Caenorhabditis elegans: one gene and its partners. The protein of the gene in region 1 interacts with the protein of each later gene in a pairwise test. Each region holds a gene or a part of one and is shown in the gene's direction. Other genes may lie near its edges. The genes, in order: let-60, plc-1 and lin-45.

Region 1 (6,453 bases):
TCGAAGCCATGTTTGAAAAAAGTTTGCATATCTAATATTATTTTTGAGAAAACTTGAAGTTTATAAAACTGTTAGATTAGTTGAAAACTAACCGTTTCGAAAATTCAATAATGAAATATCTGTTTTCAGGTTTTCATTTCCTCTAGTTGCTCATTTCAATATATTTTAATATCAAATTCTACTGGAAAGTATGTGTCATTTCTTGTTGACACCACTATTTTCAAACTAAATAAATACCACGATAATTATATATTTTGCAAAAATTGTTCAAAAAGTATCAAGTTTTCTCGTTCTTGGCATATTTCATGCAATTTGTAATTCTTTTTGTCTCAGTTATGTCATAACTTTTTCTAAAAATCCTAAGTTATTCTAGATTATTTGGGAGCAAACATTTTTAGAAATTCCCAAAGTAGATTAACAAAGAAAATTCAAATATAAATCTACTGGACATTCAAAGAAAAGCACTTAGACAATTTGAATCGAATTCCTCAAATTCTTGAACTATTTTTTAGAGGATTTCAATTGGACAGAAAGAATCTCAAGCACTTAACGTCGGCGGAAATAGTTTTTTTTTTTCAAAAAGAGACCACCGCCTTTGCTAGAAACGAAAATTGCATGCGTTCCATTAAATAATTCAATTCATCGTTATCACCATCCTTCGTCGTCGTCGTTATCGTCAGAAACAGATAGGGATGGGTCGATACAAAAAGAAAGTGGACAGTTCTTTTCTCTCACTCTTTTTCTCTTTTACAAATCACACTTGTTTCGTCTCACACACGCTCACTTCTTGTCTCTTCTCCCAACAGTCGTCGCAAAACCGTCAAAAGCGTAGCGGCTGTCGCGTCGCGGTCGTTCGTGTCTATGCATCACCGTTTCTAGTGCTCTCTAATTGTCCCGCCGTAGCAGTAGCAGCAGTAGCAGCGGCATGGTGGGGACCGCACTCCTTTATCTTTTACTCTTACTTTGTGTGTGTGTATGGGGGGTGCGAGAGAAAGAGATAAAAAAGAAAGAAAGAGAGAGTGTGTGGTTTCTGTGCTTCTGTGCACTCCAGAGCCTCGGATTTCTTTTCCTATGAACTTCATTTCTCGTCTCCATCATCAGAAGGAAGAAGAATTCTTCAGAATCTTGCACTTGAAGCGTTTTCTGCCTATTTATTTTCTCCTCCCGAGTTCATCTCTCTATTCGTCTTTAGCTTAATCCATTTTATTAGGCACGCACCCGCTCCTTGGTTCAACCAAATGAGAAGATAGAAAAGATGGAGCAACGCATCCCAAATTGTGTGATAGGATTAAAGTAGTGTGGAAGAAAAAAAAATGCAGAGTGAGAGAAGGGGCAGTCTTCTTTTCCGGTCTTACTAATCCTAACGTCTTCTTTTTCCTTCCTATCTCTCATCTCTCAACTTCTGAAATAGTTGAGATGAGTGATTTCGTAAGTTCATTATTCTTTTTTGTCAGTTTTTGCTTATAGTTCCTACGGGAATCATTGTTTCTTAAACATGCTACTTCTTTAAACAATTTATATTTAACAAAGTAAAATTGAACGTTTTTTTAAAAACTTTCTAACTGAATTTCGTAAATTTATTTGTTTCCTTGTGAAAAATGCTTGTCAGGAAAACTTTACTTCTCTACGTCTCAATCTCTGCAATCTTTTAACGAGAGATCGGAGAATTTTGTATTGGAAAAGTGAAAAAGAAAAATGAAAGAGACCCACTCGACACTGAGGGCGACCGAAAAGAAACCGACGAAAAAAAACGACGATTCGAGCCATTTGTCAGCGACAATAAGTGGTCGGGTCGCACCACTGTCCGCCGTCTCACCGATTTTAACATTATATTGTCCCCCTTTTTCTTCATCGCTTTGAAATCAATTTTTGATGAAGTGAAGACCTTTTTTCTCCTGGTTTTTTTTTTAATAATTGCATTACCCCATTTTTTAAAGTTCAAAATTACTCAAACTATTTGAATTCTTCTTTTTTTCAAATTGTAATGACTCATTCTCCGTCGTCTTCAAATAGTTACTCATTCCGACTCACCACCTAGTTTATTAACAGGAAAGTTCATTCTTTTTCTATCTTCTCAATTATTCTCAAGTAGTCATCATCGGTTTTTTATTTCTTTCCTGGTAGTTACTCTCCTTTATCGAAACTTTTTTTTGAAAAAAAAAAGAAACGGAATTCTGAGTATGCCGATAGGCAGAGCTGCTCTTTGGCAGTGCTCCCACAGAAATCCTTCTCCACTTCGTTTTCTCATTTCCATCTCTATTTTACATTTTTCCATATTCAACTATGCGTCTTTTTTCAGAAAAGGGTAATGACGGAGTACAAGCTTGTGGTAGTTGGAGATGGAGGAGTTGGTAAATCAGCACTCACCATTCAACTCATCCAGAATCACTTTGTCGAAGAATACGACCCGACCATAGAGGACAGCTACAGAAAGCAGGTGAGAAATCATTGGGAACATCCGCTACACACATGTGGTGGGAGCAAATTGAACGAAAATGATGGCATTTGAAATTGAACAAAAAAACGATGAGTCAGAAGTTTGGAAGTTTTTTGAAACACATCGAGCTGTTTAATTGATTCCAAAGACGAATAAATCGTGCTGAAACACGAAAAATTCCGAAATTTTCGAAAAAAAACCAATTTTTCGTGTTTTGGACACGACATTATAAAATGGCTGGAACTGAAAAAAATGGCTCGAATCATGATTTTTCATTGTCCCCCGAAAATTCTCACAAAAAAAAATTGGAAAACCGAAAATTTTAGTTTTTGCAAAAACCGGAAAAATTCTGAAAACACTCCAAAATCGATATTTCTCAGACGAATTTCAATAATTACATTCCGTTTTACGTTTTATACAAAAAACAGAAATTTCACTTTTTTTTTGAGAAAGGGCCCAAAACTTTTTTTTAGATTTTTTGTTTTTTTAAAGCAAATCGATAAACCAGCATGCCTGCTCGTGTCGTGTGAGGAGTATAAATTTTTTTAAACGTATATTCATCTTTAAACTCTGAAATTCAGAATATTATTGAGCCCTAATTTTCAGTGTTTTCATTTGAGTTTTTAACCAGTAAAAATAGTTTTTCAGTTTTAAAAATTGCTCCGAGAGCTAGTTTTTAAATATTCTAATTTCAGGTTGTGATAGACGGTGAGACATGCCTCCTCGACATATTGGATACCGCCGGACAAGAAGAATATTCGGCGATGCGTGATCAGTACATGAGGACAGGCGAAGGATTTCTGTTGGTTTTCGCCGTCAACGAGGCTAAATCTTTCGAGAATGTCGCTAACTACCGCGAGCAGATTCGGAGGGTAAAGGATTCAGATGATGTGAGTTTTTTTTGTTGAAATTATCAGTCAATGGTTGAATATTTGTATTTCTTCTAGGTTCCTATGGTCTTGGTAGGGAATAAATGTGATTTGTCATCTCGATCAGTCGACTTCCGAACAGTCAGTGAGACAGCAAAGGGTTACGGTATTCCGAATGTCGACACATCTGCCAAAACGCGTATGGGAGTTGATGAAGCATTTTACACACTTGTTAGAGAAATTCGCAAGGTAATTTTTTAGTTAAAAATTTAAATTAAAAATAATGTTTTTAATGTACAATTAAGGTACAAATTCAGTCATTATTATATGAAAATTGAAAGACGCGAGATTTTGATATTTTCGCGCCAAAAATACGACACCCGGTCTGTTCGATTTGCTCCTTCAAATATTATGGTAACTTTATACTGTCGTTACAGCGGAATTTTCATCAATTTTTTTAAGTTTTCGATATTATAAAAATATTTAAAAACACAGCAGTTTTAATAAATCGGTGAAAATTACCCCAGAAACGAAATATTAAAGTTACTGTATTCTTTAAAGGCGCACATACGTTTGCATTTAACACAAATTCATCGTGTCGAGACCGGGCACCGCATCTTTAATTTGAAAATCGCCAAATGTTGCATTTGAGTAATACAAAAACGTTGTTTTTAAAAATTTTCTGTTTTGTAAAGCTCTAAAATGTTATTATTGTTATCAACAGTTTCAAGTTTCCATTTTTCACTAAAAACGAAAAATGTAAGTTTTTCCGATATTTCGAAACAAAAGCTCAAAGTTTTGGTCATTTTCTTAATTTTTAAAGAAAATTATATGTTTTCTTTTGTTTTTTTTCTCACCAGCATGCACAAAATCTGATAAAAAATTGAGTTTTATTGTTAATTTTCTAAAAAAAATTTTGATGACACCCTAGATTGATATCCGAAAGATTTAATAATGTTTTCTTTTTATTTCAGCATCGTGAGCGTCACGACAATAATAAGCCACAAAAGAAGAAGAAGTGTCAAATAATGTGATTCAGCGTCGGGAATTGCCCAATTTCGCCAACTCATTTTCAGTCGTGTCAACTCCCACCCAATTATCCTTTCTCGTACTTTTTTGGTACATTTTCATTATTCATTTATCTGTTTTATCTGAAACTTGTGATCGATCCTCTTCCGCCTCTACATACTCTTCGAATTTCCACCTTTTTTTCTCTATGCATCGATTGAACTTGTTCTCTCGTCTGCTCGTCATTATTTTTTCTCCTTTTTTTTCTTCATCCTTCATTCTAATTCCTCATCTTTCGCTTAGCCCAAATCTCCATTCATTCATAGGTGTCAAAACTAGCTGTAGTGTGTGATCCATATCTAAAACATGCATCCGAACCCCCTCCTCGTTCCAAAATTGGCCAACTCTACCAAAAAAAACATCGCACCATTTTTTTTTCACTTTCTCTGCATATTTTCAGAATGTTTGTATTGCTTTTTTGATGCTTTATTCCCCTTCCTCGTTTTCATACAAATTATTGGCCTCATCTATTTTCAGAAGTTCTCTGAAAATTAAATTCTTTTGCATCTGCCGGTCGTTCCGTTTATTTTTTCTCTGTTTCCTCTCATTTTTGTCAAGTAATTATTTCTCTTTCATTAACTATAATATAGATACAATTAGACCCCATTTCTCATACATTTTCTGAACATCTGAAAGTTTTTGCTCCCTCGTATTGCATTCATTTTTCTCTATTCCTCTACATTTTATAGTCCTATCTGAATATAATATTCCTATTCTTTTGATCAAGTTTTTATTATTATTTTATTTTCAAGGAAGTATTGCAATGATATAAATTTTAAAAAGCTAATATTATTTTTTTAAATCTATTCAACTATATTTTGTTAATTTCAGTGTTATATTTTGACCTCGCCATCGGAGCATGATTTTAAAAAAAACTAAATTTAATTTATTAGAATGACGAGAAAAAGGAAAAATGTAGAGTCTGATGAGAATCCTCCAGCGAAAAACTCATTTGAAGGATACGGATATGCTGCTGCTGATGCTGAGAAGAAGCCACAGGAGGAGAGAAACAATTTCAGAACTTTTCTAGCCAAAAATGAACGATTTGGAAGTGGAAATCGAGGTGGAGGAGGTCGTGGAAGAGGAGGAGATGGTGGATTTAGAAGAAATGATAGAGGTGGACGTGGTGGTGGTGGAAGAGGATTCGGTGGTAACAGAGAATTCAGTGCCGGAGATTTTGAGAAGGTTTGTGTCAGATGGTGTCGTGAGTGATGTAGCGTCTCTGGCTTTTTAAACTCAAAATTACAGAAAAAGTTTCGATATGTCGAGTTAAAAACATTTCTAAAATTTGTATTATTTTGCAAAAAATAAAAAAAAGCCGAATTATTTTTGAATTTTTTAGTCATTTTCCTGGACAAAAATTGTTCAAAATGTGGAATTATAGGTTTTAGACCAATTTCATTTTATCGAATTTCGTTCGGATTTTCGAGGTTTCTTTCCGAAAAACTGTCTGAAAAAATGAGCGCGGGAATTCACAAATATTTCAGTATTTTTTTGAAATTGAATTTTAAAAAATTTATATTCGATATATTGAGACTTTTTTCTGTGAAGAATCGATAAAATGAACTCCAAAGCGCTCCCTAGGCAATTACCACAAAAACGTATATATTTATTTAATTTACAGCAATACGGTCGAGTTGGCGGCGGTGATGACACGAATTCAGGACAACCGGATAGCTACGGACAAGCTGATTCGGCTTCATTCAACGACTCTCGACCAGATGGAGATGGTCGTGAATTTCCGAAAGAAATTGTTGGTTATCTGAGAAGTATTGAACAAATCAAGAAGAAAGAGGGAAAAATTGAAGATTTTATTCTGGAAAAGTGTGCTGAAGAAGTTGTTGGCCAGGAGAAAACTCTTCTCTCGTGGACAGAAGCAGCCGTTGTTGTTGAATCTGTATTTGGAAGTTGTCCTAAAGGAGCAGCTCTCTTCCTTTCATCGATTTCTCGTCTCAAGCATAAAACATTAGCTGAGCTGATTTTCGGAGGAGCTAGTGCTAGGACAATTGAAAATTTGATATTCTCGATGTGCCCAATCGCCGAATCAGAACATGTGGAGATTCTTCAAAAACTAGCAGG
Region 2 (5,986 bases), on another chromosome or scaffold:
TTTTTGGAAGTCAACTGTCTAAAAAAATTTGCAGCGATTTTTACATTCTTTTCATGTTTTCTTTACCTAATACAAAAAGTCTACAAAAACCGTGACTAAAACAACAAAAATAGCGTTGAGTTTGACGCGACCTCTTCACAACTCGTTCTCCGAGCAAAGTGATGGCAATTGTTTTCAAATTTATATTTCAAATTGTTTTTTTTTTCAAACTGATACTCAATTTGTAGTGGTTCGAACAAATGGTCTTCGCATCAACTTATGCTAAGGATCGTTAGTATTGAGTTTTCATCAGAAATATCTGATTTTTCTTTAGTTTTTGTTGATCTTCTTTGTTGGAAATTGTATTTTCTGTCTGCGCTCTCATGGTTTGCACTATCTAGCCCTATCTAGACGGAAAAGGGGAGTTTTTGGGTTTTGTCTAATTGGATTTACGGATTATTAGTTACAACGTTTAATTGATTTTGAGGTTTTTTCAAACAAAAATAGCTGATTATCTATTGTTTTATTGATTTATAGTATTTTTTTTTCATTGGATTGTCTGGATTCCTGATTTTAGTGAGATTTCGATGTTTTCATTGGCGAATGTTAGAGTTAGAGTCAAAAAGTTAGAGTTAACTATGAATATATTTACAAAAATTAAAAAAAAGTGATTTTTATCGGAAAAAAACTTGCGACAACAAGTAGTCAGAAAGTGCCAATAATTATGAGTGCTGGAGGAGGCTGATTTTGACCAAGCTATTTCCTGATAGTGAGAAATGATTAAAAGCAATTTTCGAAAACAAAAAAATCGGGCAAGGATGGGAGTGATCCCCAATCAATCACAATATCGCTGGCGCATGCTAACCACTACGCCATCCTGCCCACGCTCATCCAATTTCCAATAAATCCATTAATGGAAATGATAACGCATATAGAAGAAATCACGCATCAGTCCGCGTATTCTAATGATAAACAGCTTCTATTTCTCATTTAAAAGCAACAAAAAATCAATAAAATAAATCGTTACGAATTCATATTTTAAATATTTTTTAACCAATAGAAATTTTATTACTATAACGAACGGACCATTTTTATTTAATCAAATTCGGGTATTCAATTTGTTTCACAAAAAAAATGACAAACACTTCAATGAAAATAAACAATTACGAAATGAGAATATGAATACCTTTTTTGAGTACACTGATTGAGAAAAGTCCAAAAGTTGTTCACGCGAACACCCCATTTTGCACAATATTAAATATTTTGGTTCGCTGTTATAAACTTTAATCGTTGAGATGTTACTTGATAAAGAAAATTAAACAACGTTTAAACACTTTTTACAACAATTGTTTTTCTCATTTTTGGCCGTAATGGTCGCAAAACCTTCTATGCAATTTTTTGGAAAAAAATTGAAAAGACCCGAAAAAACGAACAAAATTGCAAAAATAATTCTTAAATTGGACAGTTCCATTATTCCGCACTTCTGCAAGAGAACTTCACGCTACGGCGTGAAGTCCTTTTAACTTTCTTTGGAGAGCATTTGCCCATATGTATTTTACCGCGTTATTTCGTTCGCAAAAAATGTCATCATGATGATACAGTTGAGCACATGAACCCAACAAAGAAAATACAATAATATTCGAGCCTTTTGTTACCGACCAAGACTGAATGAAAATTCGCTCTACACGCAATGTGTGCAAGCGCAGGAGAAATGTGCCAATCAGCACCCTTGGCGCAAAAGAAGATGAAGTGGAATTTCACGAGTTTGATTAAAATTGAATTGAGATGCCGCTGGAAGATAACAAATAAATAACGAGTAAATATCGAACTACATTGCCTTTTTTGCATTCGAATGGTCGGCAATATGATACCGTACAGTTTTTAATTTTGCCGTATGATGCAAAGCAGTTCAATTCAAAAGTTTTTAAAGAAAACTATTTGGGCTTAAACAAGTTTTCATTGATAATTAAGAAGCAATGGTACTTGGTGATTGACCGAGATAACAAAAAACTCAGTTGTGCCCTGATTGAAAATTTAAATCAAAGTGTTAATGTAAATTTACAAATAACTGGTTCCAACTAGAAACAGTTAATAATGTTACAAAAAGGTTTCGGATACGCATATTTTCATTTTTTAAGCAATTGCATGTTCTTTTTCTGCATGATTGAAGTCTGGACACAAAATATCGGAACAAATTCAGCATGAAAAGTTGCGCGAAGAAAAAGAAAAAGCCGCAACTCTTCAAAGTAGTAAAACATTAATGAGATTGAACTCGACGTTTTTGATTAGAATAAGTGCACAAATCTCATACATAATGCAAAACTGGTGTCACGGAGCAATTTGTTGTCGGATTCTTCTCTTCTTCGTTTTTCTTTCTTCCATGCACAGAAAGACATCTCCTCTGTGTGCATAAAGTTCATTTGTCCAAAGAAAGAAAGTAATCTGTCAAAGTGGATACCGGAGAAAATGAGTGTATCATCGACATTGTCGCAGTTCTTGCAACACATTCTTCGAGAGATGTCCTTACGCCAAGCATCACACAAATTTCCATCGGTGAGTTATTTGTTTTACGCAAAAAACTGATTTAACAGGTTGAAATAGTTTTAAATTTGTTTAGTTAATTTTGTAAAATTAATCAAAATCAAACAAATTTCCTAATAACCAGGAACGCTACGAACGACTAATTGATTGATCAGTTGAATTTCGAGTCTTTATTCAATTTCCACAGTTGCTACCTATAAGAAGCTACAAGAGTGATAGTGAGAATAAGTTTACAAACAAGATTTTTTTACACGCATTCTTTGCGGATTTGTCTTGGCAAGTTTATTTTTAAAATTTGTGGGTACTCTTTTAAAATTACTGTAGAGATTTTGTTCGTAAATCTCTTTTTCCCGTTGTCTCTTTTTTGTTCCTAATTTACACCTTTTTTCCAAAAATTCTGCATTTTATGTAATCGGGTTCTGTTTATTGTTCATAATGAATGTTTAAAAAAAAACAAAAATAACATTGTGACGATGTGCACTCAAAATCTCTACAGTAATTCTAAAAGTGCACACACCAATGTTTAAAAAGGAAATGAAATACAAAAAAACATAGCGTTACTTTCATTTTTTCAAAACTGGAATACATACAACTTTTCCAAATAGAAAAAGGTTGAATATGTATATTCATTTTCAAACGTAATACTGATAAATATTATTCAAAATTGTCGAATGTTGCTTCAGAAATTTCAGCTTTCTAAGTTCCGTTTGTTTTCTTCATGTCAATTGTTTTATTTATTGGAGTTATAAGATAACAATCGGACAGTAGTAAAACAGATAGCTCATCTTTCCCTTTTGCGACTCCATCCCCCTTTTGCATTGTACTTATTCTGAGGAGTTGGCGGAAAATGAGATTAGGGCTGGAATCAAGGGATTAATTCATGAATATGGGGGAGATATGACGAACAAGGTATTCTTTTCATTGATAAAACACAGGAAGAAGCACGATAAATCTGGCTTCTTCTTTTGTACACAATTTTTTTTGAGAAATATTAATATTGAATTTTAAAAATTATATATGATTGAATGGAAACTATTTCGGTAGTTTAAATAAAAATGAGAAAAGTTGATAATGCTACTAGTGTCAGATATCACATAGCTGCCGACATTTTATTTTCGTTCAAATAAGACAACCCCTAATTATCGAATTCCGGACAAGTAATTTCATTGTTTTTTGTTCCGCTCACCACTTCTTTTTTTTTTTGGAGCATTCTGTCCATGTCTTTCTGAAAACACTAAAATAGGCTAAAACTCGAAACTTCTCTCCGTTATTTTCCTCCGGAAATTAGTTGTTTCAGAGGTCTGCCAATACTCGTATAACTTGCCATAACATAGATAATACTCCTATATCAATTTTGAAATCTTTCTTTCTCTGTTTTCAATATTTCTTTTTTTTTCGAATTACGTTCTTCCTGTGCCGCGTTTGCCGATTGCCCATTTGGCAATATTCTATCGCTAAACTCAATCTTTCACATCCCCCATTTTTCATTTTCCACCCGCTTCCTTTCCAATTTTTAACACATTTTCTCGTTCGAGATTACGTACTGCAGTGTGTCATGTGCAGCACATTAGCCCCACAAGTTTCCGTTTTCTCGTACTTTTCTGCTCATTTCCTGATTAAAGACGAAACTTGTTGTATTTGGTGCAGTTTGTGATGATCTGATTCTAGCAAAACAAATCGCGTCATTGACAAAAGTTTTGATGTAACCATGTCTATTTGGATAGAATATGTTTTATAGATGTAGAACCTTGCAGCTTGCAAAATAGTTTAGTCAGCTGTAAGAAACCTTTGATGAATCTAATGGCGTTTTTTGGACTTTAAGTTCAGATCCATGTCCAAAAATATCAAAACAATTAAATAGTCCATTTTAATCTAAAATTATTATGACTCATATTTTACCAATTCCATCGGTTCTCACCTTCTTCGAAATTCTACTTAAATTTGCAACTTCAAATATCTGAATTAGGAAACATGTTTTGTGTGTTTGTAGGATATTTATTACAACTAACCACAATTTTGAACATAAGCAAAATTGTAAATGAACTTTCTTATTAACAGTTTTTGAAATTCAAAAAATTGAGTTATAGCTGATAAGTCGTTTTCTAAAAAAACTGTTTTCTAGAAAATCGAAACTATCCAAATGCTTTATTGGAAATTTTTGTACAATTTAATGTTAAAAACTAAACGTTTTGGATAGTTTGGCTTATTTTTCGCTTTTGTGTTCAGTCGGAGCCCTTTTTTAATGATTTTTTTCAATGAAAAAAGTTTAACGCAAACTTAACTATTAGGAATTTATTTTAAGGTTTAGAAACTAATAAGCCAAAAATTCAAAAAAGTACTTCAACACATTTGTGTTTCCAAAACTATAAACAATGAACAATAAAGGTCTTGTTAAATCAAAAGATTGGCCAATTTACCACAGCATGGTAATGCGGTGCACAACTATTAAAACAATATGGTAAACTTAGGTGATAAGGTTTTTTACGAAAAAAATCTTGTACTTTCTGAAAGCGTGATATCCTTTACGTGATAAGTCCAATGAAGCATAAACATTTCTTGTTGGAAGTCTATTTTTTTCTTGCTTTAATATTATTTTAGTTTTCTGTCCGTTTTCTTTCTCTCTCAGCAGGTGTTAGTAACACCGTTTGAAATTCAAATTTTTCATTTCGTATCACAGAAATTTCAAAGAAACCATAATTCTATGCACTCACTTCTCTACTTTGATTTGAGATTAATTATGACTAAATTTTTTTTGAACACAAGAAGTTTCGCCCATTTCTTTCCCTCAAATATTGCTTCGTTTTTCAGTGATTTGGAAAAATTGTGGTGAACTAGTATTAAGGGATTAGAATAGTCGAGCCAAAGATAAGGAGGATTCACTAATCCGTGTTTCTCAATAATTTTTCTTTTGATAATAAAACGAGTAAGTGTCGAAGAGATTGAAGACTGATGAGGACAAAAAATTAATCTCAACATTGTCCTTGATGCGTCATTGAAAACAAACGGAAAAAACTGAAACTGAACTTATTCTGAACCAAGTGAAAAAGCCATGCAGCACCATTCCTTGTTTTTAAAACGGAAAGTGCAGTATAAGTTTGCCGACTTTGTTCGAGATACGTTTTCATATTTCCACTGTACTCGGCTTTCAGCTTCTCATTTCTTTCTCCCTTTCGTTGTTTCCCTTTTCTGTTTTTTTAAAGCCACAAAAACTCATAGAGTAAAGCCGAACGGAAACATGTCCTTTTCTTTTTATTTGTTTTTTTTTGAGAAAGCAAAGAAATGATAAAATGAAGAACTTACTAGATGTAGGAATTATTTCCATAGTTTTTAACCAAACTAAATAAATTCTAACCCTTATCATATCATGTTGTACAACATTACTTATAGTTTTGAAATATCCAACCAATGTGATATGATTAAATTAAACCTCATAAGCCAGGTTTGTGTCGGATTTTGTGAAAAGCAT
Region 3 (8,947 bases), 4.9 Mb from region 1:
GTAGGCTTGTATATACTAACTGCACACTATATGTAAGTAGCCCATACAAAATTTCAGACAAATCGTAAACTTACAAAATATGTCAAAACTTATTTGTTGACCAGATTTTGTTGGCGATGTGTGCATCATGCGCCCACTTCTAGTATTATCTACAGTTGATCTATAACTAGAGCCCCCTAAAAACTAGTTCAAAAGTCAGCCGAGTCTTGTTGTCACTAAATCACTCAAACAATAAATATATCACATACACATATATCTTCTTCTTTTTCTTCATTTCTTTCTCGTTTTCTTTTGCACCGAACTGATTTAAGATCAGTAGAGTTCAAGATACTCAGAGAAGCTGAGAAAATCAATGATCATGATGTTTTTGGTGACCAGAAGGAGCAAAAGAGCAAGAAGGGAAAGATGGAAAGGAGGAAGGAAAAGCAATCGAACTATACAAAATGTAGTAAAAAGACAAACTTTGAGTACAACGAGCACACAGAGTATGAAGAGGTTTTTGAGCGACTAAACATAGAAATTTTTTCACTGTTTCAAGGGATCTAGTTTAAAATCGAAAAATCGATTTTTCGATTATAATCTTTGATTATAATCTTTGAATAGCGTTCAATTTGAAATGTCCAATGCTCTTAAACTTTTAACTGTAGAGGTAGATTTGGTGTTAATTTCTAAAGCTGGCGAAAACCTTGCAATAGATACTTTTAAACTTTTTTGGAGCTCGTTTGAGCATGTCGGCTGAAAATTTCTGAAGACAGGACGTCCCAATGTACGATTCAAAGTTAATTTCGATGAAGCCAAATTTCTGAATTTCTGTTGAAAATCTATATTAAGAACTACGATATCTCACATTAAAATGAAAATAATTGTTATTTTGCGAACTACAATTATACTGAAATAGGTTTTTTTTTGAAATTCTAGTGATCAAAGAAATTTGAAAAAGTTTTGTATAGTCAACATTAGATCAAAATAATGCTTTCGTAGTTTGTTTATTTAAAACTTTTAATAATAATCTTTAGAACCTCAATCTTTTTGATAAACCAAAACAAATATTTGATAGAAAAATGACCTCTTTGATGTGGAATATAGTGTATTTTGTTTCTTTTTTGAGGAATTGTTCGCACTTTTCAAGTGGAAATTGGCGGAAAAAGATGAGAATAGAGTGGAATGAAGAGGCGGAACGAACAAAACACATTTGATGCGCGATCCCATTGATTTTTATTCGTAGAATTTGGATTTTTTTCATAGATTTTTCAAAATAGATTTTTAGACTCACGCTTATTCCTCAAAACATGTATCAACTCAGATGGGTCTCGTCGCGAGAAAACACATTAAGACATATGTTTTAATCTCCGTGATGCCAGCTGCTTTTATTCTGCTTTCCAACTTTCGAAAATTTAGTTTCAAAATAACTGTTTAAAAGTGGTAAAGTTGACAAATGTTAAGATAATAAGTTGATAAGTAATACTTAAGTTAAGTTGATTCCAAGGAAGCAAATGATACCAAATTTTTCTAAATCCTAGAATGAACTATTTTTTCGTGGCAAGACCAATCTTAACAGATCAGTTCACTTTTCAGAAAATTTGAAAATTACCATAACGTAAAGGTAATCAGTTGAGTCATGTAATCCCTTTTTTCTCAAAAATGTCCACATTCTGCAAAATCTTAGTTGCAATATGTCACAGACATTTGTCTAGTCTGTCAGTTTCAGATAAACTTTTCCCGTTTTTTCAACTTTCACAGCTAATTCGGGGTGTACTAACTAGAAGTAGCTTATTAACCAAATGTCATCTAGTTCCTTCTTTTATAATTTGATTAGTGGTTTTTTTCGAATATATTCTTTTCTAGTTTGTGTTTTGTCACGTATGACCTTGTTTCTTCAAATCAACTTGCTGCTCTCTTCACAAACTAAGGTCATCTGTTTCGTGTTAAGACCCAACGCTGAAAACATTGTCAACCTATTCGTGGCACGTGTCGCTCCCGATTTACACGTTTCTTTTTCTTTGCTCTCTTTTTCTATCTCTCTCGATCAGAGCACAGAAACCAGTGAGAAAAAATAGATGGCGAAAACAAACCCCGCCTCTCTTTTTTTGTGTGTGAAGAGAACCATTGGATCCAAAGGGGCCCCTGTTAACAATATATTTTTACTTTCTGAAATTCTTCTAAAGTTATCTGGAGATAATTATATTCCATAATTGATCACATAACATTTTAAAATGTCTGCAATGGCTGTACTGTATTCAGTTTGTCACTTTCATGGAGGCTGGAATCGTCGGAAATCGGCACCAGTAAGTTGAAAACTGATTTAAATCAATAGGGTACACTCTGTGAAATCATAGTGATATTTGAATAATCAAATGACTTTATGAAGCAACCCGCGGGGCTTCTGTATTGAGAAAATACACGATTGCATTTAAAACTTTGCGAACACAATTGTTTAATTGGCCAGCAAATTGAACATTCGTGATTCCTTTTTTGAACATGGGAATCCCACGTTTCATTCGTAACATCTTTTTCAATACAAGTTTTAACTTTTCTTTTCAGCTATCGAGTTACTGTAGATTTGAAAAGTTAATTTATCAACTAATGAAAATAAACGTATTCCATATTTCCATTAATAATAGATTTATTTAAAGCTTCACTCCATCTACATAAATTCATATAACCGAGCGCAACGCTGTCCTTATTATTTGAAAATTCTAATAAACCCTGCAAAATCTGGGTTAAAATCTTCTGCGCGAAAATGGAAGAGAAAAGTGTGTTCGGCCCGCGGACTAACTCCCTCCGTGTACTCTTCTCGGAAAAGAAAAAAATCATCTTTGCGCCCCTTACCGCCGCTCTCTTTCTTTTGTTGACCTTCTATCTGCGAATATATTGATTTTCTGGTTTATTTTATTTTGGAATTAACTGCAATTTTCACATGGAATGCTCTCGCGAAACGGTGTGTTTTCGAACGTTTTCCACAAATAAAATGAAAGTGAAAAATGCTAAAGGGAAACATTTATTTGTTCAGATTGTTTTAAAAAGTGCTTCACAATAATAAAATAGAGCATCTGAAAAGTAATTTACTTATTGCTTGTTCTGATTTCTCAAATGTCCTTTAAAAGTCCGTGTTTAATGTTTTACTCGTCCAAATTGTCCTTTTGTTTTTTAATTACATGTAATCACTAACAGCAATTTAGAAGTCACCTGTCACATCATCTCAAACGCCATCATCATCGTCGACACGCCGCCGAATGAGTCGGATTAATTTCAAAAAGTCATCGGCGTCGACCACCCCGACGAGCCCACATTGCCCATCTCCGCGGCTTATAAGTCTGCCGAGATGTGCTTCTTCATCTATTGATCGGAAGGTAGAAAATTAGCAACGAATCCTTTGTCTTGAATTTTTTAACACTAATTACATGTTACTTGTGGGGAATCGTGTTAATCTATTCAATTCAGAATCAAGCGTCCACTTCTCATTCCAAAGATTATCAATTAAATATTTATATGTAACTCATAATTATTTTCAGGATCAAGCTTCGCCGATGGCAAGTCCTTCAACTCCTCTTTATCCAAAGCACAGTGATAGTCTTCATTCGTTATCTGGACATCATTCCGCTGGAGGAGCAGGAACAAGTGACAAGGAACCGCCAAAATTCAAATACAAAATGATTATGGTTCATTTGCCATTTGATCAACATTCTAGGGTTGAAGTAAGCAAAAAATTCACTGTGAAACGAAGAAAATAAGCACATTTTGTTCAGGTTCGTCCCGGTGAAACCGCGCGGGATGCCATTTCGAAATTGCTCAAAAAACGGAATATCACACCTCAATTATGTCACGTGAACGCGTCATCTGACCCAAAACAAGAATCTATTGAATTATCGGTGTGATTTACTGGAATCTAACAGCATAATTCTTATTTTTGAATATTTTCAGCTGACAATGGAAGAGATCGCATCCCGACTGCCTGGAAATGAATTATGGGTTCATTCAGAATATCTGAATACAGTCTCATCGATTAAACATGCAATTGTTCGAAGAACGTTTATTCCACCGAAATCATGTGATGTATGCAATAATCCTATCTGGATGATGGGATTTCGATGTGAATTTTGTCAATTCAAATTTCATCAAAGATGCTCATCGTTTGCACCACTTTATTGCGATTTGTTACAATCTGTACCGAAAAATGAAGATGTGCGTTCAGAACAAAGGCGGGCGGCAATATTACAAAATTACCAATGTTGTCCCAACATTTGTCATTAACGTCGAAATATAGAAAACCACATTATTTATCTAATGACAACTTTTAATTATGTTTAAAGATCTGTGAAAATGCACAATAATGGCCATTTGCCATAGGCAATTCGCAACTTCTAGGTCATTTTTGTGCATTTTCATAGATGTTTAAACATAATTAAAAGTTATCATTAGATAATTAAGGTGGTTCTATATATTTTTTACACTGATTTTTAATGAAAAATGTTGGAACAACATGGCGTAATTGCTCACCTCTGCTTCAGAAACAATTCTTATCTAAAACATTTAATTTTCAGCTAGTGAAAGAACTCTTTGGGATCGCATCACAAGTCGAAGGCCCAGATAGATCAGTTGCCGAAATAGTTCTTGCTAATCTAGCTCCAACGAGTGGACAAAGTCCAGCTGCCACACCAGACAGTTCTCATCCAGATTTGACGAGTATTAAACGAACGGGTGGTGTCAAAAGACATCCAATGGCTGTTTCTCCACAGAATGAAACATCTCAATTATCTCCATCCGGACCTTATCCACGGGATCGGAGCTCTTCTGCTCCGAATATCAATGCGATTAATGATGAGGCAACAGTTCAACATAATGTAATAGTCACCAATTTTAAAAGAAAAAGTCTAAAATGTATTATTTTCAGCAAAGAATTCTTGATGCATTGGAAGCTCAGCGATTAGAAGAAGAATCACGAGATAAAACTGGATCGTTACTTTCAACACAAGCACGTCATCGACCTCATTTCCAGAGTGGACATATTTTGTCAGGTAATCGAAAACAGAAAACATAACGATTCGTCAAAAGGTCAGGGAAGAAAAACAAAATTCCAAATTTAAGACGTTTTTCTAAAGTTATAAAAACAATTTTTACTCTATTCCACCTTCAAGAATTTCCCAAACGACTCTAATTATTTTAATTTCACTTATTCTCAATTATTCAGGAGCTCGAATGAATCGTCTTCACCCACTTGTTGACTGTACTCCTCTTGGCTCGAATTCTCCTTCATCTACATGTTCATCACCTCCAGGTGGCTTAATCGGACAACCTACTCTTGGACAATCCCCGAATGTATCAGGATCAACGACGTCATCATTAGTAGCCGCTCATTTGCATACTCTCCCATTAACACCACCACAATCAGCACCTCCTCAGAAGGTAGAATTCAAAAAAATCTATTTTTCTTCAATTAAAAATGTTTAGATTTCACCTGGTTTCTTCCGAAATCGTAGTCGATCGCCAGGCGAACGACTTGATGCACAACGACCCAGGCCGCCACAGAAACCACATCATGAGGATTGGGAAATATTGCCGAATGAATTTATTGTAAGTTTATTCTACATCAGCAAGGGTGCACGGCTTTTGCAAACCGGCAGTTCTACAAAAGGAGCATGTTATCCTAATTTTTTTCATTTAAATTCAGTGATCGAATATAGAAAAAAAACATTTTATTTATCTGAAAATAGCTTTTTTTTTTACAGTTGAAGCAATAAAAAAACGCTCAAAACTTCTGTCAAAACTATTAAAACAAGCATTCTTTTAGATTCAATACAAAGTTGGTTCGGGATCCTTCGGTACCGTCTATCGTGGAGAATTCTTCGGAACTGTTGCTATAAAAAAGCTGAATGTTGTTGATCCGACGCCTTCTCAAATGGCAGCCTTTAAAAATGAAGTTGCAGTTTTAAAGAAAACACGTCATTTGAATGTTTTGCTGTTTATGGGATGGGTTCGAGAACCAGAAATTGCAATTATTACTCAATGGTGTGAAGGATCGAGTTTGTATAGACATATTCATGTTCAAGGTGATCTGAACTGAGATTTTAATTCTTATAATTTAATAATTTTCAGAGCCACGCGTCGAATTTGAAATGGGTGCTATCATTGATATACTGAAGCAAGTGTCTCTTGGAATGAATTATTTACATTCAAAAAATATTATTCATCGGTAACTGACCATATCTATAATTTATGTTTAAATGTTTAAAACATTTCAGTGACTTGAAAACGAACAATATATTCCTTATGGATGACATGTCAACGGTAAAAATTGGAGATTTCGGCTTGGCAACTGTCAAAACGAAATGGACAGTGAACGGAGGTCAACAGCAACAACAACCAACAGGAAGTATTCTCTGGATGGCACCTGAAGTCATCAGAATGCAAGATGATAATCCATATACCCCACAGTCTGATGTGTATTCTTTTGGAATATGCATGTACGAAATTCTATCTTCGCATCTACCATACTCCAACATTAATAATCGAGATCAGATATTGTTTATGGTTGGAAGAGGGTATTTGAGGCCGGATAGATCGAAAATTCGACATGATACGCCGAAGAGCATGCTCAAATTATATGACAATTGCATTATGTTCGATAGAAATGAGCGGCCAGTATTTGGAGAGGTGAGTGGGAAATACCGACTTTAGAAATTTGGTAGAACTATGATTTATTATGGGGTTATTCATGAGTGTCAAAAAACTTTTAAAAAATCGATTTTTTGTACTTTGTACATGTTTCGACAGCGTCGACGAGCGAAAAACTACAGTAAGCCGCCATGCGGCGAGACCATACGTTTTCATATGACTATGTCTCTTCAAAAGTTGTGTAAATTTACGAGCTGGGCGTTCTCCCCGTGTACACCGCGAGGACAATTCGGAATTTATTTTCTTCCAGTACTTCACACATTTTCGCTCTTTTTTTTCACATTTAAAATTGGCAGTTTTGTCTAAATATGGTGGCTTCCTTTGATTTTTCACTCTTTGACGCTGTCGAAAAATGGATAAAAACATGCTTTTAAGAAATCGATGTATTTTTTAAAAACATTTTTTTCGCTCATGAATAACTCCACTACACTGAAAAATCCAAAAAAATATTGTAGTTTGATTTTTAAATAAATTTTAATGAATGAATTCCAATTTTTCAGGTTCTCGAACGACTTCGCGACATAATTCTTCCAAAATTGACTCGTTCTCAATCAGCTCCGAATGTTCTTCACTTAGACTCGCAATATTCGGTGATGGATGCTGTAATGAGAAGCCAAATGCTTTCCTGGTCATATATTCCACCTGCAACTGCAAAAACCCCACAATCAGCAGCAGCAGCGGCCGCTGCTAACAAGAAGGCATACTACAATGTCTATGGTCTCATTTAGTTTTATTTTGTTTTTTTTTTTGAAAATCAAGGGACACTGCAACTTTTTAGTTGATTTTCTCGTCTCTCCCCGAATATGTACCTTTATTTTCTCTCTTTTTTCTATTCTTCCCAGTGATTTTCCCTACCCCATGTGTACACTAACCAAAAAACTTCCAGTCGAAGAATAATCTCGCCCATCGTTATTTTACTAATCATTTCTCGTCACATTGAATCCTGTTCTATTATTCACCCCCTCATCACCCATCCCGATATTATTATTATTATTTTAACCCCGTATTCACCGTTTCCTCCAAAACTTAAAAATCCCACCAAAATACTTTCTTTCCAGTCTAAGTCCGCCTGCAATCGTTCCCCCATGTGAAATTGTGATAATTTTCATATTTTTGTTTCGGCTAAACCGGTAGAACTTTTTCTTTTCCAACTATAATGCTTTTTATTGAAAACGTTTCTTTTGATAAGTTTTCAATGTTCCCACCCCATTTCCGTTTCCAAACATCCCAAAGATTCTCTGTATGTATAGAATTATATAGAATCCAATGCCTATCCGTTTTGTTTTTGTCATTTCGAACACATTTTGAAACTTCCATTTATTTTAATTTCAAAATGCAGCATCCCCATTCCTTTTCTGAACCGGGTTATTTGAATCATTTAATTTTTGCAAACAAAAAAAGTTGAAGATAAAATAATTTTTCGCCTGACTTCCTGTTTCTTCTTTTGAGTGGCTAGAAAAAGTGTAGGATTTCAGATTAATATTTTAAAATTTGAAAAAAAAACAAAACAATTTTGTTCCAGAGGATTCCACAGGATGTCGGACGAATGGGAACAGCTTACTGTAGAGTTGAGAAAAATTCCACGTGGCACCGAAGCTGCACCACAGTATTTGAGAGTAAGATTGAGAGGTGTTGATTTATCGAAATGAGAATAATTCCAGCATTTAATGAAAATGTTTGTCGCTGACTTCGAAACTGCTGTATCCAAAAGATTCGATGTAAAATTCTGGAATAAACTGAAATCAATGATGGATGAAATAACAAAAGCAATGGAAAATGATCGACTTGTTAATCATAATGTTCAAAATCTTGCAATTGGATTTTTGACTGATTTATCACTTCTTGTTCATTATCATTATGAAATTCCAAATTATGGAAACGATATCTCAAAACAATTAACATGGACACCAGATGTATTTCTAAACAGAAAACCTATCAAGTCGAAAAAGAATAGTCGAGTGTTCATGGCTTATGTTCTGTTAAGAATGGGAGATTTAATGAGATATAAGGTAGTTTTGAAATTTTTTCATAATTTTGGAAACAATGATGTCAAAATTTGTTTTTCGTTTTTCGAAGTTGATCCAACATGGACCAAAAGAAAAATCGAAAAAAAACCCGAAATTTTTAATTTTTCGATACCAAAAAATTCTAAAGAGCGAAGGGTGTCGTTTGGGTAGTATTTTAGAAAAATCATATAACATTTATTTTCAGGAGAACTACCCAAAAGCTCAGGAATATTACGAGCAATCATGCCGCATTAATCCAGCTGATGGAG

What was found.
Region 2: the proteins of let-60 (region 1) and plc-1 interact in a two-hybrid assay, tested with the Caenorhabditis elegans proteins (one study listed by BioGRID).
Region 3: the proteins of let-60 (region 1) and lin-45 interact in a two-hybrid assay, tested with the Caenorhabditis elegans proteins (one study listed by BioGRID).

Annotation. Positions count from the first base shown.
Region 1 is NC_003282.8:11,686,933-11,693,385, reverse strand, and holds let-60 (Ras protein let-60), read left to right. Parts: upstream 1-2,297; 5' UTR 2,298-2,308; coding exon 2,309-2,437; intron 2,438-3,132; coding exon 3,133-3,327; intron 3,328-3,384; coding exon 3,385-3,555; intron 3,556-4,280; coding exon 4,281-4,340; 3' UTR 4,341-5,159; downstream 5,160-6,453. Other genes in the region: ZK792.5 (Nucleolar protein 9), read left to right, coding at 5,269-5,559, 5,999-6,453. UniProt on the Caenorhabditis elegans protein: GTP-binding protein with GTPase activity. The level of let-60 controls the switch between vulval and hypodermal cell fates during C.elegans vulval induction. May stimulate the guanine nucleotide exchange factor (GEF) activity of rap-1.
Region 2 is NC_003284.9:10,835,161-10,841,146, reverse strand, and holds the start of plc-1 (Phosphoinositide phospholipase C), read left to right. Parts: upstream 1-2,496; coding exon 2,497-2,532; intron 2,533-5,986. UniProt on the Caenorhabditis elegans protein: The production of the second messenger molecules diacylglycerol (DAG) and inositol 1,4,5-trisphosphate (IP3) is mediated by activated phosphatidylinositol-specific phospholipase C enzymes. plc-1 is a bifunctional enzyme which also regulates small GTPases of the Ras superfamily through its Ras guanine-exchange factor (RasGEF) activity.
Region 3 is NC_003282.8:6,741,691-6,750,637, reverse strand, and holds lin-45 (Raf homolog serine/threonine-protein kinase), read left to right. Parts: upstream 1-2,213; coding exon 2,214-2,285; intron 2,286-2,823; exon of another isoform or gene 2,824-2,917; coding exon of another isoform or gene 2,918-2,938; intron 2,939-3,179; coding exon 3,180-3,350; intron 3,351-3,512; coding exon 3,513-3,695; intron 3,696-3,746; coding exon 3,747-3,869; intron 3,870-3,921; coding exon 3,922-4,182; intron 4,183-4,541; coding exon 4,542-4,841; intron 4,842-4,891; coding exon 4,892-5,015; intron 5,016-5,188; coding exon 5,189-5,403; intron 5,404-5,448; coding exon 5,449-5,571; intron 5,572-5,788; coding exon 5,789-6,047; intron 6,048-6,093; coding exon 6,094-6,190; intron 6,191-6,239; coding exon 6,240-6,651; intron 6,652-7,172; coding exon 7,173-7,400; 3' UTR 7,401-8,100; downstream 8,101-8,947. Other genes in the region: smg-7 (DNA/RNA-binding domain-containing protein), read left to right, coding at 8,208-8,288, 8,334-8,681, 8,884-8,947. UniProt on the Caenorhabditis elegans protein: Protein kinase that participates in the induction of vulva and has roles in fertility and viability. Acts downstream of the Ras protein let-60. Required for progression of developing oocytes through the pachytene stage.